Tamandua tetradactyla: one gene and its partners. The protein of the gene in region 3 interacts with the protein of the main gene of each other region in a pairwise test. Links are inferred from orthologs where the notes say so. Each region holds a gene or a part of one and is shown on either strand. Other genes may lie near its edges. The genes, in order: NEBL, KAT5, CCDC136 and MOS.

Region 1 (7,943 bases), about 60 Mb from region 3:
GTGGGGAGGACGTGGCGGACACAGGGCTGTGGCCCATCTCCAGTGATCAAGCTCATCTCCAAGCCCAAGTCTGGGGCGCACCAGCCGAGCGTCTGGACAAGCAGGACTGTGAGGCTGCTTCCGGAAGCTTCCAGATGCCACACTCTAGAAAGGAGGGAAACCACAACCCAATTCATGCAAAAAAACAGACAAAAACCAAAAGTGACTTCCAACCCCAGAAAGGCTCAGGCAAACAGACGGACGGTATTTGGGGACACGGTGGATTACCAAACAAGCCCTCACTTGAAGGTGTGCTGAGCTTTCAGTTTGGGCCAGGGAAGGAGAGGCGCACAGTTTCAACGCGGGGCCCTGGGAGGGGCGTCACGCAGGCCTGGCTGAGCGCAGTGGGTCTCCCTCGGGTTTCACTCCACGATGAACATAGCACCAAGTACACACTTCTGACAACCATTCAGCCGAGAGGACAACATTCTGGACAACATAAGAACTCAATGTCTAAGTCCCCCTGCTCCATATAAACAATGATGATACTGAGACCAAATAAGGAACTTACTATTTAGTAACACTGTTTAACCAGTCTTTTAAAAAACCAACATTTTATTTAGTTCAAGTCCTTCCAGAAAGGATAAATGAAAATGCATCTTTAAATGATTGTACTTACACCCGATATACTCACTCCTTTTTTCATTTTTTTAACAAAGAAGAATTTTTAGACTGTGCACAGATAAATATAAAATTCTAAAAATTAAAGCAGTGCCTTCTTCACAAGGACAGAATTCTATTTTGAGACAGAAAGTACAAATGAAAACTGATATAAATTGATTCACAACAGTCATGCGCTAAATGTTTGATATTTGTGTATCCAAATATTTAAATATAAAATATTTAAACATACATTCTGCCACACCGAGCTGTAAGTAGAAAGCACTGCCGTGTGTGTGATTTCATCCACATGAGAGGGACTTCAGCTTTTACAAAATGGTAAGGTCAGAGCCTTTCACTGCAGGGCTGATTTTAAAGTCACTGATAAACTATGTTACCCAAAATAACTCCCACAAAATCACCTCCTAACTGAAGCTGTCACTTTAGTTTTAGGCATGACAACCCTACTGTACCTGTCTGTGGAGAGTTTGGGCATTTAAGGTTTTCAAGGTGACACTAGTGTCCTTAATACTAGCACAATACAGCAAGCAGCCTCAGCTGCGGGGGCTGGGGGTCGGGGTCTGCTCCCCACTGCTGAACTGCGTGACCCCTCAGAGCCTCCCTCCCTCACCTCCGAAAGGGGATTTAACACACCCTTCTCCCCAGGCCCCAGCACCCTGGAAGTCTCAGTTATTGCATCATCATGGCGGTCTCCTCATTCTTGTTACAGTATACGGCGAATGCTCACGATCGACACATTGGGACTAACTGACAGCACAAAGAAACAGTTTAAAATGTCACTACAACCGCGCGAAGGATAGAAGGATATGGGAACGGTGCTGAGACCCCTCCCCCCACTGTTTCTGACAACCTAGGGGCACCGCAGGGCCACAGCCACACTCAGGAAGCCCCCCCAGGGCGCGTGCACTGCGCGCTTGGGGTCCCCAGCCTGGAAGGCACGGCCGCGTGGTTCTTACTCTCACGGGGTTCCAGGTGAGGCCCTGAGCCCGGGAGGCCACGGGACCCCACCCCATCCCCACCCAAGATTACAACCAGGTCCACCCAGGCAGGCCGGTGCAGCCATCCCCCCACCCCGCCCGTTACCCATGGGCTGCCAGGTAACGGGAGTAAATGAGGCTGGGGGTGCCTTACACCCACCGTTTTAAAGAGGGTGACCTAAACCCTCGCCCTCGGCAAGCACACCTGTCTGTGAGCTTCTGCAATTCTCATCTATGTATTTACTGTAACTATATCTGCGTTAAATAATGCTATAATTCTGTGGTTCCCTTGAAACATAATATAAACTGATCCCAGTTACTTTAAAAATCGTTACAAAAAATGCTGCTTTTTTACTAAAGTCACTGTCATCTGTTCCAGGGCTCTCAGCCTGCAGTGTGGGAACCCCTGGATCCTAAGTTGTAAATAAACGTTGCGCATATAGGCATACGCGTTTTTCTGGTTAGGGGAACCACTGCATTCATCATTAGATTCTTCAAAGGCCCCCAAAACGTTTTTAAAAATCACTAATTTAGATAGAGATCCTCCCAAAACATATTACATCATTATACACATATTTTTTTTTAATCTTTGGGTTCGCACAGGGAATATGCTCTGAAATTCAATGCTTTATGATTTCATGCCAGAGGGACAGTGAAATCCACAACAGACAGGATTCTGGCCAGGGAATGAGGAGACCTGCTCCCGCAGGGGGTCTTGGGGAAGTCATTTGAAATTTCTGGACTTAGTTCCATAGCTGGTAAATAACAGAGAATTTCAAGAGTTTCTCCCAGCCCCAGGATTCCATGCATCCTAGTGCCTCACACACAACGCAAAATACGACAGAAATCACTGGAGCCACTCACATCACTGTTCAGTTTGGTGCATTTTCTGGCCAATTCCATGCGTAGGTCTTCAATTACAGGCTTCCAGAACACCTGTCAATAGAGAGAGAGAGAGAGAGAGAGAGAGAGAGAGAGAGAGAGAGAGAGAGAGAGAGAGAGAGAGAGAGAGAGGCAAGTAAAGGAAACCTGTTCATCTTTGGCTTTGAGAGAGCCACGCAAAGACCTCTCAGCAGGCATCCCCTCACTCACCATGTCATCTTCGTTCTCCTCCCCCCCTGCGTTTTCTTCTTCAGTTCCATCTTTTAAATCCTCACATACCGGGACCTTCATAGTGACCCTTTTAAAACCTACGTATTTGTTAAATTCACTCGTGCTTGCCTTTTCGTGGCCGGTGGGCTTTGCAGCCTTGTGCTCTGGTGTCCTGGTACAAATGACCTTGCCCAGGCCTCACCCCGCTTTAGCTCACACTTCACCTCCTTATCTCAACTCCGCGCCAGTGGCCGGGACGAGAGGCCTCCACCCGCCAGGCCAGCCCCATGAGCAGACAAAATGGAGTGCTGTGACGTATAAAGCCAGCATTCTTTAAATTGGCTAAGAAACCCAAAGGGGAAAATGGATGCACGTCTCACTAATGCACGAAACATTCATAAAATAGTGTGAAAAGGACACAAAGCTTATGGGAACACTGCCGAGCTGGGACACTGGAGCTCTCGCAGTGGAACACAGGGTTATCTCAAAGACCCTCAAAACGCCACCTAAATAAAGCTTTTGCTGGAATGTCAGACAAAGCTCTGTTCTGGTGCGCTGGATCCGAACTTCTGAAACTCATTTCACTGCCCGGCATTAAAACGTGAATGAGACACGCATGTACTTCCCACATTCTGAAAACACCCACGTCATATCAGCTGATAATATTATTTTCATAATTTACTGTAAGCCCTCCGAACCAGTTCTAAAAATAAAAAATCTATCCTGAGTTAACTGTGACAGTTAATCTTATATTAGTTTGTTTTACATCATTTTAATTGCAAACCTCATTACACATAAGAAACTGCAGGTAACATATGTTTTTTATATCATTTAAGGATTCTAGAAATGTCACCATCTCAAACCTGCTCATGTGTCAATTTTTCTTAATTCTCTAGTTATTTATGTATTCCAATGTGTACCACACTTGGAAATATAAACATCAACTATAACAATATCTATAATGTATCATCAACCATATAATAAAAAAATTTCTCAGAACAAACTCCAAGTCTCCACACAGCTCATAACTTGTACATTCAGTTATTTAATCCTAGGGTAAATTAAGGTTTGCAAAACTACAGCATATCCTGCTGAACATTAAAAAATGCCCTATAGTGAATAATGAAACCAATTATATAAAATACAACATTATTCAAAATAATACATCAGCAAAATAGCCAAGCACAGTGGTGCTTTCTCTTGCTATTAAATCCAGATATCAAGTTACTAAAAAATATTTTCCTTGATCTTGCCTAAACTGAAAATTCTGGCAAAAAAAAATCTACACAATCATTATTTACAGATTATTTCTCAGATTGTATTCCATGGGCAAAAGTTCCAGAAAATACTCTGTGAAAAAACAGGGGTTCTATCAACAATCTTTGGAGACCTATACACTAAATCTTTACTGAGACCACTTTGAGCTCCACACCACATTAGAAGCTCTGAGAAGACTCAAGACCAAGAAACCGATGTGGTTTTACTTACCTCCACATTTCCCAAACGTGAAATCCTTTGATTTTTTTTTTTTTTAACATTCTCTCTATGCTAACGACATGGAATGCTCTGGAACTGCTTTTGGTCTTTTCATGATACTGGTTTTGATACTGGCTCATCTAATAGCATCACAGATCCTACTGACCAGCAAAACATCAAAAGAGAAACTGCCAGAAAGTCTTGAAGTTGGAGAACTTCACTTGGAAAGAACAGGTGTGTCACATCTGCCCAGCACAGCGACTGCAACCAGGAGCTTCTCTGTCCCACAAAGCAGCAGGTGGGGTGAATTCTGACTGTCCCCTCAAGAACTCTGCCAGATGATTATTCTAATATCCTATTGAACACCCGTGCTATTACTGCTTCTGGACAATAGGAAATAGACATTGTACAAGCTTTTCTTGCAACCTCTAGAGGGATAAGGAGAAAATCTCGCCAACGCTGCCTAGGACACAGCCTTGGCTCGTGTTGGAGAGGAGATGCTTGTGCGGCTCAGGGAAAGATCTCAGCCCCATAACGCATTACCTTCCTCAGGTTCATCCACGGTTCTTTTCGGATTCCCCATCATGTTCTTATGGTCTCTCCATCTCTGCTGGAAGAACATAACCTGTTGAGATTTAATGCAGAAAAGTCTTGAAAGCAAAATCAAATGCCAACATGTAATGTGAAAGCAATTTTAAATAAGTCTATTTGAGATTTTAGAATCACAATTCAACACCAGAGGGATCCCTAAGAAATCATTCCACCTTGAGTTCTCTCTTTGCAGAGCAGAAAATTAAGGTCCACAGAAATGGTCTGTAAGTCTCACTTGCAAAAGTTGTTCAACTGAGTGCTGGGAGCAGAACCTAACTTGCTCATTCTTTCAACAATGTTGTGTTGTCAGGCCCTGAGCTCAGTACTGGGAGGCAAGGGGGAGACACTCAAACTTTCCACCCAGAGAAGGTAGGAAATAAAAGAGCCGTCATTGAAGATGGCTGGATAAACTCCTTCTGGGCTGTTTGGCAAGCTGGAGACGCCGTTACTTTTGACTAAATGCACCTTCCTTCCTTCCACCTACAAGTAACATACAAAATCCACATAAAGTTTCCTCCAAAAAAATAGGTCAAGTGTTTTTTCACAGCAAATCGCTCTTATTAATAGCTCCAAAATATGACTTGGGGAATAAGAAGAAATTAGCTTTGAAGGAGCGCCATCATGTTTCAAAATTCCCTATCACCTTTTTGTTTTTTCAAAACCAAGATCAATGTTGCAATTTTGTAACCAAGAAGTTAGGATTTAAGGGATGATTATGATTATCAAATCATTTTATAGATATTCCTTTTTACTTTCTGGTATATTAGAGTAGACAAAGGAAAATACCTGAAATCTCTGAACTTCAACCCAGCTGCCTTGACCTCTGATAATGAAAGTTTAGCCTTTATCTTGTGCCCTTGTGATTATAAAAACCTTATGAATGACTCTCACTTGTACCCATTTTATCCAGTTTTTTTTACTTTGGAGTCTTGTGATCACTAAAGACAGCCCCAGAAGTTTATTAATAAAGGGCCTTGGGTCTGCCCAGAACTAACCCACCCAATACCAAAGTTACCTTGAGAACAAAGACCGGATCTAACCAAAGTGGGCCTGGCATGCGCAGGAGTTCAGACTTTAACCTACAAGTCACCTGACCTCATTATAATAAAATCATGCCCACCACACATGAAGGCCTTTTTCCCACAGACTTTCTGTGATGAAGCGTGTGATCAATCTGCACATCCTCAGTAGTTAGATCACCTCTAATTACACTACATGATGTCTGATCCTAAACCCTGCCCATCTTTCAATTCTACAAAACTATCCGAGTTACTGGGTTGGAGGAGAGAGGTCTTCGGGCTCACTGACCATCTGAGCTCCTGCTTCGTGCCCAGCAGTAAACTCTCTTTGAAACGCCGGCGTCTCAGGAATGGGTCATTTGAGTGCGTCCGGTGGGGGGCGGGGGGGAGAATGTACCACCTCTGCCAGGTATTAATCTGATACATATTTTCACCTTGGAGCACCCCAAAAAAGATCACCCATGTAGCACCTACTACCTTTTTCTTAATGAGGATTTCAAGCATTCTGTCTACTTTTTACCTTCGTGCTCCACCCCAGCTCTGACCTGGAATGACAGGGAGATGGGGCTCCATTCCTGTGGCCTCGGGATAAATGATTTAATCCCCTCGGTCCCCAGTTCTGCACAGTTAAACAGAAAACAGAACTGCTGTCAGTCAATAAAAGAAAACCCCTTTGAGAAGAGTAAAGACCCTTACAAAGACAAGAGTTTTCAACTACCCCATAAGGACACAGAGTTCCAGAGAAGCCCTTGAGGGGAAAGGGGAAGGGTCTTCTCATTTAAAAGGGAGACAGGGACCATCAACGTCTCTTCAAAGGCACGGGAGGCTTCCTACAACCAGACAGCACAGAAATAACAGGCAGCTGAAGACTTAGAACACAGGGCTCTTGTATTTTTTTATAGCAAGGCGTTGTTTTGTAAGGAAATACATTTCCATAGCAACTGCAGAACCGTGGGTAGTTCAGGTTTCTGGAGACCCCACACCTGGCCCAGGAAACTCATCCATCCCACAACCAGGGGCAAACGAGCACCTGACTGTCTTCCTTCAGCTTTTTTCTTAAGGTCACAGGCTACAAGATTCTCCCAGCTCCTGATAAAGACCGCGGACTTCACTCACTTCCGTGTGTTCCCTGTTCCCCTCACAGTGTGGGACACGTGCTTTTCCCAGCACAGTGAGGTCCGCCTTGGAAAGGAGAGCCCTAACGGAGGCGGCAGCAGCTCGGGATTCAGCATGGGGCTGAGGAAAACTTACAGGAATAAAACTGGTTTTTTTTCTTTTCCATTTAAAAATTAATTCAACATTTCTTAGTACAAAATATTCACCCTAGATAGTCAGCTGGGAGAGAAATTAGTCATCTGACCTCTTTTCCTGCTTTGATGGTCTTTCACACACTCAGTTTTAGCAGCCTTTTTTAAAAATGTAAGATTATGCTCCAGAAGGCTGGTGCTTCTCAGGCTATTTATCCTCCCACTTTGGCATCTGCCCCAAAGAGAGCTTTTACTAACGGATGGGAGAGGGAGACTGTCCTTAAGAAAAGAAACAGCAAGCATTCTAGGGCAATTTATTTCCTTTTTAAAAGAGAAGATTTCTGCCTGATATTAGATCAATCTATTTTTGCAATCTACATTCATTAAGCATACCTTCTCTTTTTAATAGCTATGTCATTACTGTTTGTTAATTAGAAATCAAAAGAATACAAAGTAACCCAATTAATCACCAATTATGCTGTTAAAATAAGATTTAATAGAGTGCTTTTCAGTATTTATATTCCTATTTTTCCCAACCAGAAACCCAATTCAAAAATGAGAACTTCCTATTTAAACTGCCATTGGAGGAGGAGGAGGAGAAGAAAAGAAACAGCAGCTAATTTTTAGCACAGCAGTTTCCAGGCTGGGAGTGTCTGGGGTGCGAAAATGAAGAGTCTGCACTCCTCCAAACACACCGAGAGAAAAAACGTTCGTACTCGGCGCACACATTAACACAGACGCCCAGTGGACTGGAAGACTTTTGGTTTAAGATGCAACTTACTGAGATACAGTGCAGTTGAAATAACAAGGACAGTGACGCTAACTCCGTAATCACACGAGACCCTCCCCCCGAAAGAGCCGGGGGCTCGGCGGGCGGGCCG
Region 2 (7,613 bases), on a different chromosome or scaffold from region 3:
GCTGAGAAATCTACACATAGTCTTCTTGGGTTTCCCTTGTATGTGATGGATTGTATTTCTCTTGCTGCTTTCAAGATCCTCTCTTTCTCTTTGACCTCTGACATTCTAACTAGTAAGTGTCTTGGAGAACGCCTATTTGGGTCTATTCTCTTTGGGGTGCGCTGCACTTCTTGGATCCGTAATTTTAGGTCTTTCATAAGAGTTGGGAAATTTTCAGTGATAATTTCTTCCATTAGTTTTTCTCCTCCTTTTCCCTTCTCTTCTCCTTCTGGGACACCCACAACACGTATATTTGTGCAGTTCATATTGTCCTTGAGTTCTCTGATACCCTGTTCAAATTTTTCCATTCTTTTCCTGATATTTTCTGTTTCTTTTTGGAATTCAGATGTTCCATCCTCCAAATCACTAATTCTATTTTCTGTCTCTTTAAATCTATCATTGTAGGTATCCATTGTTTTTTCTATCTTTTCTACTTTATCCTTCACTTCCATAAGTTCTGTGATTTGTTTTTTCAGTTTTTCTATTTCTTCTTTATGTTCAGCCCATGTCCTCTTCATGTCCTCCCTCAATTTATCGATTTCATTTTTGAAGAGGTTTTCCATTTCTGTTCGTATATTCAGCATTAGTTGTCTCAGCTCTTGTATCTCATTTGAACTATTGGTTTGTTCCTTTGACTGGGTCATATTCTCAATCTTCTGAGCGTGGACAGTTATCTTCTGCTGCTGGCATCTGGGCATTTAGTCAGATTTCCCTGGGTGTCGGACCCAACAAGGTTGTAAGATTTTTCTGTGAAATCTCTGGGTTCTGTTTTTCTTATCCTGCCCAGTAGGTGGCACTCGTGGCACACGTTTGTCTGCGGGTCCCACCAGTAAAAGTTGCTGTGGGTCCTTTAACTTTGGAAAACTCTCGCCGTCCGGGAGGTTCGCCAGCCGAAGCGGCTTGGAAGAGTGCCAGCTGGCCCGGGGTCCGAACGCGGGGAGGGTTGCTGGCCGCCGCCGCCTGGGAAAGCGCCCGTCCGAATTTCCTAGTCGGCCCAGGGTGCCAAGCTTGGCGGGAGGGCGCCAGTGGCAGCGGCCCGCCCGGGAGAGTGCACGTTCCCGGGGAGTCACGGGTTTGGAAGGGCCCCCCCCCCCGTCGCCGTTCTCCGCGGCCTGGGGATTTCCGATCCAATTCTCTCAGTTGGTCCGGGGGTCCGCACGTGATGTGGGCGCCAGCCGCCGCGGTTTGAGGGGACCGCCTGTCCAATTCTCCCAGCCGACCCGGGGAGGGGGCAGGGAGTGACTCTGGCCGCTTGCCGCCCGGTGAAGCCCGCGCCCCTCGGCGATCTCACCAGAGCGGGTTCTCTTAGCCAGCCAGCCGTTCCAGGATGGGGTACGCTGTCTTTTTTATCTCTGTCGTGGCTTTGGGAGCTGTTCTGTATCGCTTCTACTCCCCTAGTAGCTGTCCTGGAGGAGAAACTAAGATCCGCGCGTCTTACTAAGCCGCCATCTTCTCCGGAAGTCTCCAATTGCTTTCTTTTTTTGAGTATATAGCTGTTAGTTTTTTTGTTTTGTTTACATTTTCCTTCCACTTCTCATTCAAATTTCTCTTAAGAGGTGTCTCTTTGTGCTGCTTCCATTTCCTTGCCTCCCTCACACTCTGGCTTCTTCCTGTCCCCATGTCTGCAAGGAACTCCTCTCTGGGCTCTGTGAAGAACACCCCGCTGTCCACTCCAGCAGGCATTTTCCAGGCCTTTCTGCCATCTGTGCAGGGGATCCCCAGATCCAAGCCTTCCCTGTGGGCCCTCTGCCCAGCTCAGGCTCTCGGCCCCACAACCTTCTGGACATCCCCACTTTGAATCTAGCAAGCTCAACCACCTCACATCATTTGCAAAATACAAGGCTGTGTTCAGTTTTTCCATAAAGGGACTGTGATTTATTAGAATAAAGATTCTCCTTCCAAAGTAACTGAGACTCCCAGAGATCTTGGGTCTAGATGGAGAACTGCTAGCCCCCAACAGGCCAAGATCCCTATCTTTCTCTCACCACATTTTGTCATTCCTCAAGCTCCTGCCCCCTTCAGCCCTTGCCTCCACAGCTGCAAAAACTTTCTAGTTAGACTCAGGTCTCCACTCGATTGAGCCGTGTCCCCAATAATCCTTATTCACTCAGCTCACCTTTCTAAAACTTGAATCAGATAACACCATTCCTTTGCTCCGAATTCCCCAATGGCTCCCACTGCCTTTAAAGCAAAACATGGCTTTGATACAAGTGCCACAAAGGGCCCTGTGAACTCTCAGACCTCTGGATTATCCTCTGGGACTGTCTCCCTATTCACATTCGCTTCTCTCGTTCTTGGAATAAATGAACTACCCCCACCCTCCCTGGCTTCTGCACTGGCCATTCCTTCCCAGTGGGATCTCACCTTCCCCAGATCTTCTAATGCTGTCCCTTTTCATCATTAAGAACTCAGGTCACATGTTCTCCTTCAAGGGACATCCTGGCTGCCTCCTAACAGCCACTCCACTCTCCCCCATCCAGCAGCTACTGTGTTGATGTGACTGACCCACCCCAGCTATGCGAGTCAAAGCCAGTCAGGGTAGCCCTAGGCCCTTGATCACAGAAACTGGCTGAGACATTGGCAAATTCCCTAAGATGGTTCAACCCAAGGGGAGTTCAGGACTTTCCTGCCATAGCTGGGAAAGAGATTTCTCACTGGACATGACCATGGACACAGGTGGGTGGCCTTGGAGCTGTGGGCTGCAATCTTGCAACTGTAAAGGGGAGTCGGCCTTAATGTGGAAGAAAGGCAACCCCAAGGAGTTGGGAGTGGGAAGACATAAAGAAACCTGAGTTGCTGGTGACACTGTTGAGTCCGGGGATGACACCCTTCCTAAAGCTTCATTGTGCCTTTGGGCTTCATGGGACAAGACAGTCCCTGATTAGTCCAGCTTGAATGGGGCTTTGTGCTACTTGCAGGGGGAGCAATTTTGACAGACAGCTGTCCCAGAGACCTAGAGACCTGCACTGGCAGCCCCACCCTCTCTGACATTCTGTTTTATCATTTCACAGCACTTTTTGCAAACGATCATTTTTGTTTTGTTTTATTGAATTGTTTATGTCTGTCCCAATAAAGCAGGCACCTCATCTGTTTTCACTCATGTTGCTGTCCCAGGGTGTGGCACACAGTTGGTGCTCGATTAATATTGGTGCCCAAAACCAATATTCATGTGTTAACTTGGCCATGTGGTGGTGCCCGGCTGTCTGGTAGGGCAAGCGCTGGCCTGTCTGTTGCTATGAGAACATTTTGTGGACTTAAATCATGATCACATTGGCTGCACCCATAGTTGATTGCATTTATAATCAGCTAAGATGAGCGCCTTTTGAAATGAGGGTGCTTAATCTAATCACCGGAAGGCTTTTAAGGGGGATTCAGAAGAGACAGTCACTCTTCCTTCCTGCTTCAGCCAGTGAGCCTCTCCTGTGGAATTTGTCCAGACCCTTCATTGGAGCCACCAGCTTCACAACCTGCCCCATGGACCTTGGACTCTTACACTTCCATGGTTGTCCAGCCAGGCTTTCCTGAGAGTTCGTTGAGGACCTCATTGGAGTTGCCAGCTTGCAACCTTAGACTTTACATTCCCATAGTTACATGAGACATTTTATAAATTTTATATCTATCTCCTGCTGATTCTGTTTCTCTAGAGAACTCTACCTGATACAGCCCCCAACCCCTTTCTATAGCTAACAACCACCCATCCTCTAAGCCTTAGGTCAGGCATTGGAAGCTCCAAGACCCCTCCCTATATGCCACCTGGATCAGCATCTCTCCTGAGCCCCGGGTTGCCCACCTTACAGGATTAACTCCTGTCTGCCATAAATGTCAGTTCACATCCCTGGCTCTTCTTCAATGTCAGGTGCTTCATCCATTTGACAAGTTTTAGCTGGATGCCTCCTGTGAGTGTGACACTATTCTAGAAGCTGGGAAAATAGTGGAGGACAAAACAATAGAAACACTGCCTTCATCCCAGAGTGGGAAAGACAAACCAAATGAATAAGGAAAATGTATGATTTGATAGCTGGGGATAAATGCTCTGAAAAAAAAAATGAAGTGGATGAGGAATACAGGGTGGAGGGGAGCGTGGGGACAGGTTTAGCTGGGGATGTGAAAGAAGACCTCATTGGAAAGGGGGCCGTTTTGGTTTCCGGAGCTGCTTAAGCAAATACCATGCAAAGGGCTGGCTTAAACAATGGCATTTCAACAGCTCATAGTTTTGAGGTTAAGAAAAAGTCCAAATCAAGGCATCATCAGGGCAATGGTTTCTCCCAGAAGCCTGTGGCATTCTGGGGCTGGCTGCTGGAGATCCACGGTGCTGGGCTTCTCTGTCACGTGAAAATGCCTGTGGCGTCCTCTCCTAGTGTGCTGGTCTGAATCCGTGGTGGACCCCAGAAAAGCCATGCCCTTTGATCCTCATTCAATATTGCTGGGTGGGAGCATTTTGATTGTTTCCATGAAGATGTGACCCACCCATTTGTGGGTGGTAACCTTTGATTAGATGATTTCCATGGAGGTGTGTCTCCACCCACTGAAGGTGGAGTTGCTTGCTGGAATCCCTTAAAAGAGGAAACATTTTGGAGAGAGTCCCTTTTTGGTAGAGCCACGAGAAAGCCAGCAGATGCCGCCATGTTCGCCATGTGCCCTTCCAGCTGAGAGAGAAACGTTGAACGTCGTCGGCCTTCTTGAACCAAGGTATCTTTCTCCGGATGCCTTAAATTGGACATTTCTATAGACTTGTTTTAATTGAGACATTTTCTTGGCCTTAGAACTGTAAACAAGCAACTTACTAAGTTCCCCTTTTAAAGAGCCATTCCGTTTCTGGTATATTGCATTCCGGCAGCTAGTAAACTCGAACACCCACCATCTCAGTTCTCTTTTAGCTTCTGGTGAGTTCTAGCTTCTTACTTCCTCTGGCTTTCTCTTTTAATGTCTGAATTTCATTCTGCTTGTAAGATATAGATAGGATTAAGACCCATTCTGATCGAGCTGGGCCACGCTTTCACTGAAGTCACCTCCCCCAAAGATGTTACTTACAATGGGTTTGCACCACAGGAATGGATTCAGTTTGAGAACATGCTTTTCTGGTACTTACAGCTCTGAACCACCACAGTGCCTTTTTTTTTTTTTTTTTTTTTTTTTTTTTTTTTGGTGCATGGCCCAGGAATCGAACCTGGGTTTCCTGCATAGAAGGTGAGCATTCTACGCTGAGCCATCCATGCACCCCACAGTGACTCTTGAGCAAGGACTTGTATGATGTGAGGGTGTGAGCCCCGTAGACAAATGGAGAGAAAATGTTGCAGGCAGAGGAAACAGCAAAGGCAATGGGGGAGGTAGGCGCTTCCTGTGCCCCAGAAACAGCAAGGAGGCCGGTGTGGCTGGAGTGGGTGACGGTGGGGAAAGATGAGGTCAGAGTGGTAACTTGTGTGTGTGGGGGGAGATGAATTTGTGCAAGGACTCTGAATTTTACTCTGAATAAGCGGGAAACCACGGGTGGGTTTGGATCATCAAAGGGACGTGGTGTCAATTATATTTTTAAAGTTCCCTCCTCTCCTGCGTATGAGGCTATTGCAGTAGTCCTGGGTGCATCTGGGTGATAATGGTGAAAGCAGTGAGAGGATGTGCTGATGGGTTGACTGCAAACCAAGCAGAGAAATCAGGGATGACTTTAAGGTGTTTGGTCTGAGCACATGGAAGGATGGATTCGTGACTGACACGGACAAGAGAGATGGTGGGACAAGCAGGTTGGGAATGAAAATCAAGGGTTTGGTTTTGGACACGCCCTTCAGACATCCAAGTGGAGATGGTGAGTGCGCACTGAGTCTGGAGATCACGGGAGAGGTCTGGGCTGAAGATATAAATGTGAGAAACCTCAGCAAGTGAATAATACTGAAAGCCATGAGCCTGGAGGGGATCAAGAAGGGAGCAAGTGTAGATAAAAGTCCAGGAAGAGGACCCAGCAACGGAGATGAGGAGTGGCAGAGGAAGGAGGAAGGAAACCAGAAGAGTGTCGTAGCCCAGACGCCAAGAAAAGGGTGTTTCAAGGAAGAGGGAATGGCCAATGGTACCAAATGCCACTGAGAAGCGGCCATTAGATTAGACGTGTGGATGGGAGGGGCTGTCACGAATGACCTTGGCCAAGAGGCAGGGCTGAAATCTGCCTGAAGTTGATTCGTGGCAGACTCTCAATAAACATTGTCTGCATCAGTGAATGACCAATTTCAACTGCCTTCCTTTCGGTCTCCCTTTCTGTTCTGACTGCCCCAATTCTGGGACACCGCCACCAGGTGATCTCAGCACAGATGCAGTCTTTCCCCAAATACAACTTCAAAGCAAACCCTGGTGGGATGAACATGTGAACAACTGGCATAAGGATCATCTTTGTGGGATCGTTTGCAATAGGAGAAATTGGACACAACACGAAACTGGCTATGACAGCTAAGAGGCATCTAAGACAACAAAACACTGAAAAGCCATTAAAATAGTGCTTCAGATACCTCACAAGGCTTCAAGTTTACACTGCTAAGTGAACAAGCTGATAACAGCAGAGTGCACACAAGAAGAAACTATTTTTGTGTTGATCAGAAAATAAAGCAGGGGTTGACTAATGGTTTCTGTAAAAGGCCAGACAATAAATATTTTAGGTTTTGTGGGCCTTGTACTCAGTTTTAGAGTGAAGAGAATCAAAGACAATATATGAACGATGAAAGTGGCTATGTTCCGATAATACTTTATGGACCCTGAATTCTGAATTTCATATAATTCATGCAATTTCACACAATGTTCATGAGCCACAAAAGTTCTTTTGTTTTTTTTCCCCAATATTTAAAAAAATTAAAATCCTTCTTAGCTCATAGGCTGTAGGAAAGCAAGCAGTGGGTTGGATTCGGGCTGGTGGCCACCATTTATCCACCTTTGCTTTACCGGAGAGTCAAAATGTTCACGGTGTCCATTGCCCCGTGATGATGTGAGTTTGGGCTTTCTACTCCCTTACTGTGGTCTGTGTTTTGGAATATTTTCCCCTCAGATATGTGCATGGCTCATTCCCTCACCCCTTAAAATCTTGGCTCAAATAATACATTGTAAGCCACCTGCCCAAAGCACTCTAAAATTGCAACTAAACTTTAAAACTTACATTGCTCGATTTCTTTTTTGTTTTCCATCAGTTATCACTCTTTAATATCCTAAACGATTTATTTTTTCACTGTGTTTAGTATTTACTATTTCTATCGCAAAAAATGTAAGCTCCATCAGGGCAGGGGTCTATTTTGTTCGCTGATGTACTCCAGACTCTTCGAATAGTGCCTGACACATGGAAGGGACTCGCCATATATTTTTGGAGTATATGAATGAATAATCCACACATCACTCTCTAAAATCAGAAACCTAATATGCAAAAGAACAAATCTAGACATCTTTGTAAGTCCTCATCTCTAAGGGACGAAGGCCACATATTTGGCCCGGCATGCAAGGCCCTTCCCAGTTTGAGTCCCACCCACTTCTCCAGCCGGGAATAGCTGCCGCCCCCTCTCTAGACCCCCTAGGTCCGCTCAGACACTGCACGCCCCCGCCGGACACAC
Region 3 (7,471 bases):
AAACTGTCAGGGGAAAAGTACTTGAATGGTAACATAGGTGGCCACCGGCCCTCCAGTCCTAGACCTGAAAGTTACCTTGGAGCTGCTGGATCTGCTTGGTGAACACCTCTGCCTGCTGGGCACTGGCCAGCCGCTCATCCTCCAGGAGACCTGCAGAGAGAGGAAGGAACAGAGTCAGACAGGAGCACAGCACCTTTGAGCCCAGGCCCTCAGTTCCCGACACAAGCACTCACCCTGCAGCTCCAAGGAGTCATCCTCATGCTGCCCGGCCAGTTCCCGGGTCTCCTCCAGCTCTGCCACCAGCTGGAGTACCTGAGCCCTCAGCTCCTCCAGCTCCGTCTCCGTGAGGCTTAGGCCCCGGTGCTTGCCAATCGACAGGGAACCCACACTGCCACCTTTCTGCTCTTGTTCTTCCTCTTCTTCCACCTCTTCTTCCTCCTCTTCCTCCTCCTCCTCTTCATAGAGAGCTGGGAGTAATACCTCCCCTGGGAGAGATGTCCATCTCATCAGAGTAAGAGCCAACTGCTTTCCCACAGTCCTTTAAGCCCTCAAACTCACTACCCCAAGGCAGAGATAGTATAATAGTGCCATCTGGTGTCCCCCACAGAGGGACAGGACCCAAGCTCATGATGAGTCATTGGGTGTGAGTGTCAAGTTTGGAGGTAGCGCTTCCCAGGCCCTTTGCACCTGCACCATCCTACCACTGCCTTTGGGCAAGTGGATTAGCCTGCTGCTGGCTCAGTCACGTGCAGCTTGCACAAGATACTTGGTTCTTCTAATCCTGATCTTTGGATAGTGGGACAAGTGGCCAAGAAAGAATTCAGACACTGTGCATGTCTTTAGGTCGAATGAGGCAAGAGTTATGCTTCAGAATTTGTAGACAGTTAAAAAATTATCTGGGTGGCTTGTGAAAAATTAGTCTTTCTATAATAAGAAAGCATTTCAGTAAGAAAAAACATCCAAATAAAATGATTCATAGTGTTTTACTGGACAAACTTTGGGGCCCTATCAAACGTTATGTTATTAAGTAGCTTTTTTGAAGTTTTCGACAAGGCTGACTCAGCCTTCTTTTCCCTGCTGGATGCCATGAGGTCTCCTCTCCTCTACCTGAGTGTTATGACGCCCCACCTCCTCCCTTGCTGACCATAAGGCAGTTCTCAGGGGAAGTCTTAGATTGTCCTTGTGTGTAAAACAAAGCTCATCATTTTAGTGCATTAAGAACTTGGGGTGATAGAGCCTCAGTCTCTGGCTAGTAAGCATCCCCTCCTTACTGCAATGCAGTTACTCTAAATAACAAACTCTTGTCTAGATAGTGATCGTTTGCTTTGTTTTAAATCCCTGAATCTCTGGTCTTATTTTCTCCAATCAGCATCCTGAGGTTCACCTGGGTCCCCTTGCATCATCTGTTCCTGTTGGGGACAGCAGGGTATGCAGAGGGGCCTGGGGACACTTCACAGGAAGTCCTGAAAAACAGACCAGTGTCTTTCCAGGGGACAGTGTGGGCCGCACCTGACAAATCACATGCGTGTGGTGGGATGTTGGCCCTCTCATCTGCTCCCTTCCTAGGCCCTCTCTTTCAGGCAGTAATCTGTCCTAGAGAACCAACGCCACAAAGCTTCCATCAGAAGTTGATGGTGGTGGCACCAGAAAGACAGCTCAGATGCCCACCCCCTAATTTTTTTTTTTTTTTCCGCATGGGCAGGCACCAGGACTCAAACCCAAGTCTCTGGTATGGCAGGCGAGAATAAGGCGAGTCACCACTTATCACTGGGTGGGTAAGCAGTGATAATAACCCCCTGCTGAAAGGCTGCGTCAGAGCTCTGACCAAGCAAGGCCTCTTTCTTTGTCTGCCAGCTCCCCTGGGACACACAGCCTGGTTAACGAGGTGACAGAAGCCCCAGAGGGAGGCACCCTGGATTTCCCTTTAAAGCCTGAGCCCTGGGGAGAGGGCTGAGGTGAACTGAGGAAGGGCTGTGTCCCACTTGGGAGCTCTAGGGGTCAGAGAGGAAGTGAAAGGGAAGGGAAATTGGGCGTGTGTTGGGGGATGGGGTGGAAGCCTTTCGGGAAAACTCACCCTCCATAGCTTGCATTCCTCGGCGTTCCAGGGACCCCCAACGTTGGCCTCTCTTCCTCTCACAACCCTCGGACCCCTCATAGGAGCCTAAAGTAGTTACTGTTGGTCCTGTGCACAGTGAGAGGAGGGATTGTGGAATGTGAGGGCTTGCTGGGGGCTGGGGTGAAGGGAGAAAGATAGAGGGACATGCCATCTAACCCTTTGGAGCCCTGGGATTTTTAATCCCAGTGGAGGCCCCTGACTCACTCTTGTCCAGCTCTGCAACTCGACCGCCCTACCTGGGGCGCGCTCACACTCGGGCTGCCAGAACCCCCAGCTCTGTACTGCCCAACCTCATCCGCACCTCCTCCTTTAAGCTCCTCTGTCTTGCACAGTCAGAAAGAGGGTGTGTATATATTTAGCCCGGAAGGGATAGGGAGGAGGTAGGCAAGATAGAAGAGTCTAAAAGGCTGATGTGGCGAAAGGAAGGGGATGGAGGTGATGGGGGAGAGGGCTAGGGGAGGGAGCTGGGGCCGCTCCCATTCTCTCAGGGGACCTCGTCCCTCCCTCCTTCGCCCCGCACTCCGGAGCCTCCGGGGCCATTGGGTGTTCAGGGTCTGGGCACCCAGGGGCTGTGAGTATTATCGGGGCTGGAGAGGCCAAATGGAGAGGACTCAGGGGATGGACTGCCAGGGAGGATGCGGCCAGTGTGTGGAAAATGGAGACCGGGGCCCGGGGGGAGGACCAGGATGGAGGGAGGAAGACTTAGGGAGGAAAGGTGAGGAGCAGAGGAAGGAGGAAGGGAGGACCTGGTGGTCTAGAGGGAGGAGAGATGGAGACGAGGAAGGAGTGGCGGTGGTGAGCAGGGAGGGGGGCGGCTCTGACCTGGGCCCGGGCAGCTCCAGCCCGCGGCTCCCGCGCCGGCCCCGGCGCCCGCCTCCATGGCCGCTCCCTCAGCAGCCGCCGCCGCCCGGAGAAGAAGCCGCAGCCGCAACCGCCGCCGGAGAGGCCGGGGACCCGGAGCCCGGAGCGCCGGGAGGAGGGAGGGCGGGCCGAGGGGGCGGGCCCTGGCTGGACCACCTGACGCCGAGCCCGGCCGGCTCCGCCCGGAAGCCCGCCCCCCCGGCCGGCTCCGTGACTGGGCGAAGCGAGCGGGCGCGGCAAGGCGGGCGAGCCCCTCCGACACGCCCCGGTTCCCGCGCTCAGGGAGAACCCGGAGCCGCCGGGCCCGGACCCCCGACGCAAGCCAGCCGGAGCTTACGGGCTGCCACGAGTGGGAGCCACGAGTGGGAGCCACAAGCTCCGCTGCTTCTCGCGGTGGGCCCTGCCCCGAGTCGATTGCGCGCGGGGGTCCCTGTGCGCCCTGTGTCGGAGCCCGGTCCCGTTCAGTGGTGGTGGAGGGAAAAGGCAAGGATGGATGAATCCTCCCGGCCTGTTTCCTCCAAGCGCGCAGACACTCGCGCACACTCCCCACCCTCCCTCACCAAGGAGGCCCCGCGCCCTCCACGTCCCCGCCGTCAGCGCCGACCCGGGTCCGGGGCGCGGGTTCCCGCGCTGCAGGCCGCGACTTGCTGGCCCCAGCCCAGCGCCCTGGCCTCTCGCGCCCCAGCGCAGCCCGCTGTCGGGAGGAGGGAAATTGAGGCCGGGATATGCCAACAGCGGGGCCGGATTCACTTTGCCTTCCCCGAGCTCTCAGCAAGCCTGAGCCAGGGGCCTTTTTAGTAGGGGCTCCTTAGTGACCCCACTTGGCCCTCCTCTCCCTGCTGCCACTCCCATGGGCCTCGAGTCACGTCTCCTACCCCGCCCGGCAGCGTGCTCAGAGTGAGCAGTGCTGATTTTCACCCTCATAGAAAGGTTTGGAAGCCAGTGGGCATATGTCAATTATTCAATCATTGATTTAAGGAATGTTTACATCTTCTCTTCAGGTCTCAACCCCAAAAGAAGTGAGGACACTTCCCAGCACGTTCAGAAAATTGTTGGGAAATTCCTAAGCTGGGAAGACCACCAGTCTCTTCCCTTGCTTAGCCCCTCACACTGGCCCTGGACGTATATTGTCTGTGTTCACTCCTACAGGTTCCCAGGTTCCCAAGTCCTCCGTATCTGAACATTCTGTTTCACAGAAAGTAAGCCTTTCCTTCGTTTACTTTCCACCCCTCAGTTTGGAGTCACCTCTAGGCAGCCTTCCCTGAGGCCCCGGGCTACCCCAGGGAGGTGCCTTCTGTGTTCTCCGGTAATACCCGGTCCTCCTTTCCTCTGTTGCAGCACCAGTCATTCTGGGTTGTCAGAATCTGGTTTTTACATTTCTATCTGCCCAATGTCTTGAAGGTAGGGAAGTATCTTAAGTCTTCTTTGTATCTCCAGCACCTGACAAAACGCCTGATAAAAAGGAAAAAACTAATTAAGGTAAATCTCCCAAATTTACCATTAATGCCCCTGTCTTATCATGGAGCATAAGACTTCACACTTACAGGGTTAAATGTTGTCTAGAAATGCTGTAAGTCTGTTCATCTCTCTTTCACCCTTCTCCCCACCCCCAATTGTGGTTCTCAGAGATGAGGAACAGAGAGATCCAGGGTGTTTTCCTGAAGAGTTTGTGGGTAAGGTGACCCAGTCTTGGGAAAAGACTGCTGAGAAAGCCCACCTGCACCCCTTCTAGAGGGCCAGGTGCAGACATCAGGCCTGTCCAGATTTGAGGAGCTGGGCTTTTGTCAGGGGTGGTGGAAAGGAGCTGGCAGTGGTAGTGGGATGCATAGAAGCCCTGGGAATGATGGAGACTCCTGCTGGAAGCCGGATGACTGCGCATTCTTCCCTGCACACTCCTTGTTCCAGCTCAGCCCGCAGGGTCAAGTTAGCAGTTGGCCTTGACTACTGACTGTGACACTCTAATCTCTCCTCAGGGAGGGCTGCTGATTCTGAGGATCAGGACTAATCTCTCTCTGGCTTCTGGTTCCCCTTAATTTGGGAATACTCAGAGGAAACCAAAACCAGTCTATTCTCAGGACCTAAACTTGGGCAAAACCTGGCCAGACCAGTACTGGGTTGAAGGTGGGAGAGGGTTTAGGAGGCAGAAGAAAAGGGTTTAGCAGGTATGGGTGTGGGGAGGGGGAGATGGACTGTGGTCCAGGGGTGCATCTCAGAAGAGCCCAGGAGTGTTGGAATGTCAGCCAGATGATCATCTTGGGCTGGGGGTGGAGGTTGTATGATCCAAATTAATCCTTGTAATCCCTGGATTCAGGACTCACTTCCTTCCTAATCCCATCCCAGCAGATCAGCCTTCCTGAGGACTGATAGAGCCATTTATCCCCTTTCCCCTTATTTCTAAATGCCTAGATCCTTTCATTAAAAAAAAGAAAAGGTGTAAACATTCAAAACATGCAGAAAATTACAGTAAAAAGAATAATATAACTAATATCCCTGTGAATAGGGTGAAATTCATGAGTGAATTTCATGAGTGAAATCCAACAAGTGTTAATATCTTTTCATTCAGAGGCAGCCTTTCTGTATGTGTTTTTACAGCTTTACTGTATATGTGTGTATCCACAAACAATACATAGTATTGATTTGTATGATTAAAAACTCTAAATGGTGTTATACTGTACACATTCTTCCTCAAACCTCCTTCTCTTCCCTCAATATTTATTTTAGATTTGTCCGTGTTTTTATACATATTCTTCCAATTCATGAATTTCAACTGCTGCATACTATTTCATTTTTTAATATACCATAATTTACTTCTTTATTCTTCTGCTCTTGGACATTTAGGCTACCTCCAGTATTCCATATTATAAATAATGCTGCAATGGACAGTATTGTGGATGCCTCCTTGGATATATGTGAGTATTTCTCTAGAATAGATACCTAGAAGTGGAAGTTCCAAGTCATAGATTATGTACATCTTAAACTTTGCTTTTATTGCCAACTTACTCTATAAAGTAGTTGGACCAATTTATACTCCACCAAAGGAGGCTTACTTTCTTTTTTTTGTCCCTAACCTCTACTGATTTGGAAATTTACACATTCTATTTCTACTGTTGTAGGATTACTTTTTTCATTTGTTTGTTTGTTTGTTTTTTTAGTGATTACCTTTTAATATATATTTTTAACAATCTTAAATCTAAGGTGAATCAATCATTATTATCATCATCTGCCTGAGTAACATAAAGACCTTAGTAGAGTTAATTCTGCTCTTTCCCTATGATCTGCCACATTTCTATTTAGTATTTTACCTTGTTTCTAATCCCCATTAATTGTTGATGTTGTGGTGGTGGTGATTATTATTATTATCATCTCTGGGGTTAGTGATTATTTGGATTTACTAACATATTTATACATTTCTTTGTTCATCATTGCTTCTCGCACCTCATTCCTTTCTTCTTGGTTCAGTTTCTTTCTTATGGAGGCTATTCTAAGGTAGCATTTAAGTAAAAGTCTTTGAGCGGTAAGCATTTTCAGTCTTTTGTCTTAAAGTGTCTTTATTTTACATCCTGGAAAAGATAATTAAGTGGGCTTAGAACTCTATGTTTACAGTTCTTTTGGCTTTTTGAAGATATTCATTTTTTCTATAATTTTTCATTGCTAATAAGAAGTTGGCTGCCAATATAATTGTTTTCTTGGTTGGCGAATATTTTCTTTCTGGTTGATTTTAAGATTTTCTCTTCCTTTTCAGCATTCTGCATTTTTACCCCAATGTGTTTATGTGATTGGGACTTGGTTTATTTTCTCAACTTGAGGACCTGTGTTTTTCTTCCATTTTGGAAAATTCTCAACTGTTTTCTATTGGAATATTACATTTCCCCTATTCTCTCAGTCTCTTTCAGTAACTTTTATTAGATATATATTATACTTTCTCGTTCTTTCCCTCTTTCTTTGAACTATTCTTTCATATTTCCTATGCCATCACTTACCCACATTTTGAATGATTTCATCACCTCTATTTTCTTTAATTGAATTCTTTCTTTAATTGAATCTAATCTGCTATTAAATGCATCAAGTTTTAGTTTCAATGGTTGATTTTCGTTTCTTGACATTTTATTAGTTTTTTTCAAAAACCTGCCTTTTTTCATAGTGCCTTAGTTTTACATTACAGTTAATTTTCCTCCCTTTATTTTTTCTTTTTATGTTCTACATTATAGGAAATTTCAAAATTATATGAATGTAGGAATACAATATTGAACATCCATCATCCAACTTCAATAATTATAAACTCACAGGAAATCTTGTTTCATCTAGAACTCCATCCGAAGTCCACCTCAAATATTTTTAAGCAAATCCTAGATTTCATCTATATTTCTTTTAAAAAACCTAACCATAAATAATATCAAATAACCAGCTGGCTGATTCGAATGATTTAAGTAAGACCCATACCTTGTAACTGGTTGCTATCTTACTTTAACCTCCTTCATTGAATGTATGGGTTCC
Region 4 (5,668 bases), on a different chromosome or scaffold from region 3:
TCCTGAATATTATGTGTGAGGGTCCTTACAAATGAGAATGCTATTTTAGAGGAGGAAGTAGAAAAAAATAACTTTAAAAAAAGTCTTTATGGATTTGGCATAGGACCAGTAATTTGTGACAGTTTGAATTTGACCATTTGAAGTTAGATGGTGGGTATGGTACATACTGTTCGAATGCATAGAAAATTTTGGCATTTCTGCAGTTCCATTCTGTTCTGCACAACCTGGTTTTGTCAACAGCAAATCTGAATAACTGTACTAACTGTACTAACTGTGCTAACTGTGAACACAAGCAAACTAACTGCAGAAAGGAATAACGGTAGTTTCTACACAATTGCTCAAATTTTAGTCCTGCCTGTTTGTCTTGGTAAAACCATGTTAGACTAAAGAAGTTATTAAGTCACTTTATTTTCTAAAAACCTGTCTTACAAATAGTTTTCTACAACGCCACTTCTTTAAAAAATGAATAGAAATAAAGGGAAAAGCTTCTCTGGAAGCAAGTTCAAAGCCAGGCGAACTCAGCCTTTAAAGAGCTAAGGTCCGCAAAGAGGAGCTCTGCACTTGGCCGCTGGACAGCGCTGGGCGCCCAGCAGCCTTCAATGATACACTCCAGTCTCCCACCCGGGACCGAGTTCGTGAAGACCGCCGCGGACAGAGAGGGGCGCAAGTTATAGGCCACGACTGCATAGACCACGTGCTGTCGTTCCCCCGAGTAGGGCACCTCCTTGGTGGCCATTTGCCATAGGGTTATGGCGAAGGAGTAGATGTCTGCTTTGGGGGTGGCCGCCTCTCCTTTCAGGAGCTCCGGGGCTCGGTGCGTGTATGTGCCACCCAGGGGGCACCGTGGGGGCTGGAGGCACAGCAGGCCTTCCAGCTTCTCGGAGCAGCCAAAGTCACCGATTTTGCAGACGTCCTGCTCACTGATCAAAATGTTAGCCGGCTTGAGGTCCAAGTGCACGATTCTTTGCGAGTGGAGGAAAATCAGGCCGTTCACCACATCTAGGGAATACTTCAGGCACCTTCCCAAACTCAATTGCTCCCCGGTCCGGCAGCGAGGCTCCTCCTCGTCCCCACGGTGGTGGGGCGCGCCGTAGATGACTTGGTGCAAAGTGGTATTGCCCCCGAACTCCATGATGATGGTGCCCAGGCTATCGCAGCCCGCAGGCGTGCGCGTACTGGCCGCCACCACCTGAACGATGTTGTCGTGCCGGAGCCTGGCTATGTTGAGCTCAGCCCAGAAGCTTCGCTGCGATGCCAGGCGGTTCTTGGTGCACCTGTTCACCTGCTTCACCGCCACGGGCACACCGTGGTAAGTGGCCTTGTAAACCGAGCCGAACCCGCCAGCTCCCAGTCTCCGGAGGAAGCACACTTGTTCCCAGTCAATGGAGCACCAGGCCAGCCGGCGTGGCAGCCGCGGCGCCCTGGGCGGGGTGCCACCCCAGAAGAGCCTCCCTGCCTTACCTGGGCGCTCCGAGGGGCTACTGCAGGGCCGCGAGTCCACCGAGGGCGACAGCTCTCCAGGCAGGCAACGGCGCAGAGGGAGAGGTGAGGGCATGGCGCCTTCAGGGTGGAGACCCGGGACCCAGATGGACGCAGAGGAAAGAAAGGGCTGCGCCAGCTTGGATGCATGATTGACCAGGCCTTCCCGGCGCCACAGCCTCTTTATCCTCTCCCTTCATTGTCTCCAAATGAGCCACATCTGTGTGCCTTTGCACAGCCAGGGTGTTTTGTGTGTGTGTGTGTGTGTGTGTGTGTGTTTAATCGGATAGGGGAAAAATCTGAAGGAAGCACAACAATCACCTTCAGATGAAAGCATTTCCCTTAAACACTTAAGTGAATTCTTATAAAAGCAAGCTCTCAGGAAGAGCTCACCATATAAACAGCATGGAGCTGCCCCACAGCTCCCCCTCTGTGACACTTTTCTTCAATTATAGCAAAATGAGCTTTTTCCAAGTCTCATCGGCTGAACATTATCAGACCTGAGACTAAAGAGACCACAATAGTAAAATGAAATTATTTCACACTTTGCAGACTCTGATTGTCAGTGTTCTTCTCCAGCTGCATCAAATAACTTCCAGCAGTTATTGGCAGAAAGAGTTGAAAGACAAACAGCAGACATTTCCTTAACCGATTACAGGGATAATTAGGTGCCACATTCATATGGATAAAAGTTGTAATCTTGGAGTAATTGATCCAAATAGAAGCACTGTCCAGCTCAGAACACACACCTCCTAAGTTCATCAGGGAAAAGGAAAATTCTCGGACACTCTATTCTGCTTATATGGCAAATTAGCAAGATTTTAGCAACATATCAACTTCCCAGCAGTCCTCCCATTCCATAGCAATTCGGCCCACCCAGAAAGCTCACTTACAAGAGAGATTCTAGACTTTGCAGCAAATGAGTTACAGAAGTTTTGAAGCAGAATCAGGGGCAGAACAAAAAAGGCTCAGAGTCATGATCAGAGCTTCAAATAATAAGTACAGGAGAATTCTAGAAGAGGAAACTCTGAAGATAAAAAGATAGCACGGACTCACTGGTGCCTATACAGAATGCGGAAAATCAGATTTTGAAATATAATTCAGGGTCTTGCAACCCAACCATAAGTTCTTCCTTTCTAAGTTTCATAATGAAAAAGTAATTTTCATACCATATCCTTGGGAAAATGATAAACAGTATTACCCTATCCATTACAAAACACATGAGAATGTTAGGATCTGTATTTTCTGTCAAATAATAAAGTTCCATTCTGATACTCAGTGCTAAAAGCACATAAGTGATATGCAAGCACATTTCTATGAAAATAGCTCTTCTCTGCTTCTGAAATATGTTGGTTCTGAGAAGATACGTTAAGAAACATGGCTCATTTACATATGTAATTTGAAATTAAGTCCTTTTTAGAATAGGATGTTTATTCCGTGCTACTCCTCTGGTTTAGTATATGATGTTGGGTATTAGATTAAACCTGTATGAGCCTCAATCTTTTCATGTAAGAAATTAGGATAATATTCAATATTAAAATAAACATTATCATCTTGGAATAAAAATTGGGGAATCCTGTCCAGATTAACAACAATAAAACAAAATCTAAACATTAAACTATAGAATATTTTAGTAGAACTACAGTTGTATGCAATTGTACTGAACCCCAAATATAAGAGGATGAGAGCAAACCAAAACAACAATGAACAGAGTTGTGTGGGTTTGAAGCTATTATGTACACCAGAAAAATCACATCCTTTAATCCTCATTCAGTATTGCTGGGTGTGATCTTTTTGATTGTTTCCTTGGATATGTGACCCACCCAATTGTGGATGGTAAATTTGATTAGATGGTTTCCACGGAAATCTGTCTTCACCCATTCAAATGGGGTTGCTTATAGAGTTCTTTAAAAGGGAACCATTTTGGAAAAATTCTTAGAGCCAACAGAATTAACAGAGCCCACACAGCCAGAGACCTTTTGGAGATGTGAAAGGAAGGCACCGCGGGTGAAGCCTTATGAAATGAGGAGAGAACGCTAGCAGATATTTGTGTACCTTCCCAGCTGAGAGAGGTATCCAACACCCAAAGACCCCAGGAGATGCCAGTCACGTGACTTCCCAGCTGACAGGAGTGTTCTGGATGGCAATAGCCTATCTTGAGTGAAGGTAACCTCTTTTTGGTGCCTCTAAGGACATTTTCATGGCCTCAGAACTGTAAACTTGCAGCTTAGTAAATTCTCTTTTTAATAGCCATTCCATTTCTGGTATATTGCAATCCAGCAGCTTACAAACTAAAACAGAGTTAAATAAGAAAGTAATAAAACTATATCCTATAATAGGTCTAATTGCTAAACTGACTTAATAGCCATCATCTATTTGGAATTGTAATAACCATGAATATGAAGGTTCTGAAATTGTTGTAACATGCTGGAGTGCTGCAAATAGTAGCAGAATAAGAGCGATAGACATTACACTTTCTAGCTACTACTTATGATTTAAGATCATGTGACTTGTTATCATGTAATCTTTATTTCTAAGGTAGTAGCATAAACAATTTTTTCAAAGTTTAGAGTCTGACTTTTTCACATAAAATGTGAGGTACTATGGAAAATGTGGTAATCTATACACGCATGAACTCTAAATCCACTAGATCTGTCACCTGCCAAATTGTCCAAGAATATTTAATTGAATATCCATTTTTAAAATAGCCATTTGTTTTCCTTTTTTTTAGGCATCTTAAAATTTGTTTCTCTTTCTCTGTAAACTATAATTGCCCTGAAGACAGGAATTATGTCCCTTAGAGATTTTTTTCTCTCCTGTGAGTAGCACAGTACCTAGTACATAAAAGTTCTTAATTAAAGTTTAATTTTAATCCTGATTTTGTTACCATGTATATATGTACAGATATATAATATTATATAATTTAAAGTATTATATATAATATTTTGTATCTCCAAAATGGATAAAGCCCAAACCAGGTCATAAAGAACAAAGGTTTTAGGGTCACATGACCCAGGTTTCTTATTGTCTCTGTGCCTCAGTTTCCTCACCTGGAAAATATTCTACTGACTTCAGGTTTGCTGTGAAGATGAACAGTTTCAAATACTTAGATCAGGGCCCGGCTTATGGTAACACATAAATGTTATTATTACAAAACTCATAAAAAATAATCTGTGTGGATTTATACCCTTAAGAAACAAACATCTGTGTTCTAGTTTGCTAGCTGAGGGAATGCAATATGACAGAAATGGAATGCCTTTTAAAAAGGGGAATTTAATAAGTTGCTGGTTTATAGTTCTAAGGCCAAGAAAATGTCCTGATTGAAACAAGTCTATAGAAATGTCCAATCTGAGGCATCCAGGGAAAGATACTTTGGTTCAAGAAGGTCAATAAAGTTCAGGGTTTCTTTTTCAAGTGGAAAGGCACATGGTGAACACGGTCAGGGTTTGTCTCTTGGCTGGAAGGGCACATGTCGAACACGGCATCATCTGCTAGCTTCCTCTTTGGCTTCCTGTTTCATTAAGCTCCCTGGAGGCATTTTCCTTCTTCATCTCCAAAGGTTGCTGGCAGTTGGACTCTCTGCTTCTCATGGCTATGTCATTCTGCAGCGTTCTGTCATCCTTCCCAGATCTCTCTGAATCTCCTCTCTTTTATAAAATTCCAGTAAAGTAATCAAGACCCACCTAGAATGGGTGGAGACATGTCTCCACCTATTCCAGTTTAACAACCACTCTTGATTGAGTCACATCTCCAGGGAGATGATCTAATTAAAGTTTTTAACATACAGCACTGAATAGGGATTAGAAGAAACAGCTGCCTTTACAAAATGGGATTAAGATTAAAACATGGTTTTCTAGGGTACACAAACCTTTTCAAACTTTCACAGTCCGTTAGACAGTATTGGTTTAAAAGTTATTCTACCAGGACTGTAGGGTAACATTGCATTAACCCAATTTAAATTTTACTTGGAGCATTTTTCTGCTTTAAAATTTTATTTCTGATGTTAAAGATAGAAAAGCATGTCACATTACTGTTATGGACTAAAACTGCTACAGGTGTACATTAATCTGATCAAATGTGATAACCTCACATCATACCCAGACAAAGACAAGAGTGGAGTTGATTCAAAACATCTGGGATTTTTAAAAAAGTCTGTGAGAAAGTGATAGGGACAGAACATGTGGATGAC

The links.
Region 1: the proteins of CCDC136 (region 3) and NEBL interact in a two-hybrid assay, tested with the Homo sapiens proteins (2 studies listed by BioGRID and IntAct). The two-hybrid records come from large-scale screens. The link is inferred for Tamandua tetradactyla from reciprocal best matches to the Homo sapiens genes CCDC136 and NEBL.
Region 2: the proteins of CCDC136 (region 3) and KAT5 interact in binary tests that used the Homo sapiens proteins (3 or more experiments, as listed by UniProt). The two-hybrid records come from large-scale screens. The link is inferred for Tamandua tetradactyla from reciprocal best matches to the Homo sapiens genes CCDC136 and KAT5.
Region 4: the proteins of CCDC136 (region 3) and MOS interact in binary tests that used the Homo sapiens proteins (3 or more experiments, as listed by UniProt). The two-hybrid records come from large-scale screens. The link is inferred for Tamandua tetradactyla from reciprocal best matches to the Homo sapiens genes CCDC136 and MOS.

What each region holds. Positions count from the first base shown.
Region 1 is NC_135327.1:229,742,411-229,750,353, reverse strand, and holds the start of NEBL (nebulette), read right to left. Parts: upstream 3,020-7,943; 5' UTR 2,811-3,019; coding exon 2,730-2,810; intron 2,574-2,729; coding exon 2,502-2,573; intron 1-2,501. UniProt on the Homo sapiens protein: Binds to actin and plays an important role in the assembly of the Z-disk. May functionally link sarcomeric actin to the desmin intermediate filaments in the heart muscle sarcomeres.
Region 2 is NC_135335.1:8,814,753-8,822,365, reverse strand, and holds the start of KAT5 (histone acetyltransferase KAT5), read left to right. Parts: upstream 1-4,605; 5' UTR 4,606-4,654; coding exon 4,655-4,728; intron 4,729-7,613. UniProt on the Homo sapiens protein: Catalytic subunit of the NuA4 histone acetyltransferase complex, a multiprotein complex involved in transcriptional activation of select genes principally by acetylation of nucleosomal histones H2A and H4.
Region 3 is NC_135327.1:170,216,935-170,224,405, reverse strand, and holds the start of CCDC136 (coiled-coil domain-containing protein 136), read right to left. Parts: upstream 3,012-7,471; 5' UTR 2,997-3,011; coding exon 2,939-2,996; intron 2,183-2,938; coding exon 2,075-2,182; intron 486-2,074; coding exon 234-485; intron 151-233; coding exon 76-150; intron 1-75. UniProt on the Homo sapiens protein: May play a role in acrosome formation in spermatogenesis and in fertilization.
Region 4 is NC_135332.1:99,783,615-99,789,282, forward strand, and holds MOS (proto-oncogene serine/threonine-protein kinase mos), read right to left. Parts: upstream 1,556-5,668; coding exon 503-1,555; downstream 1-502.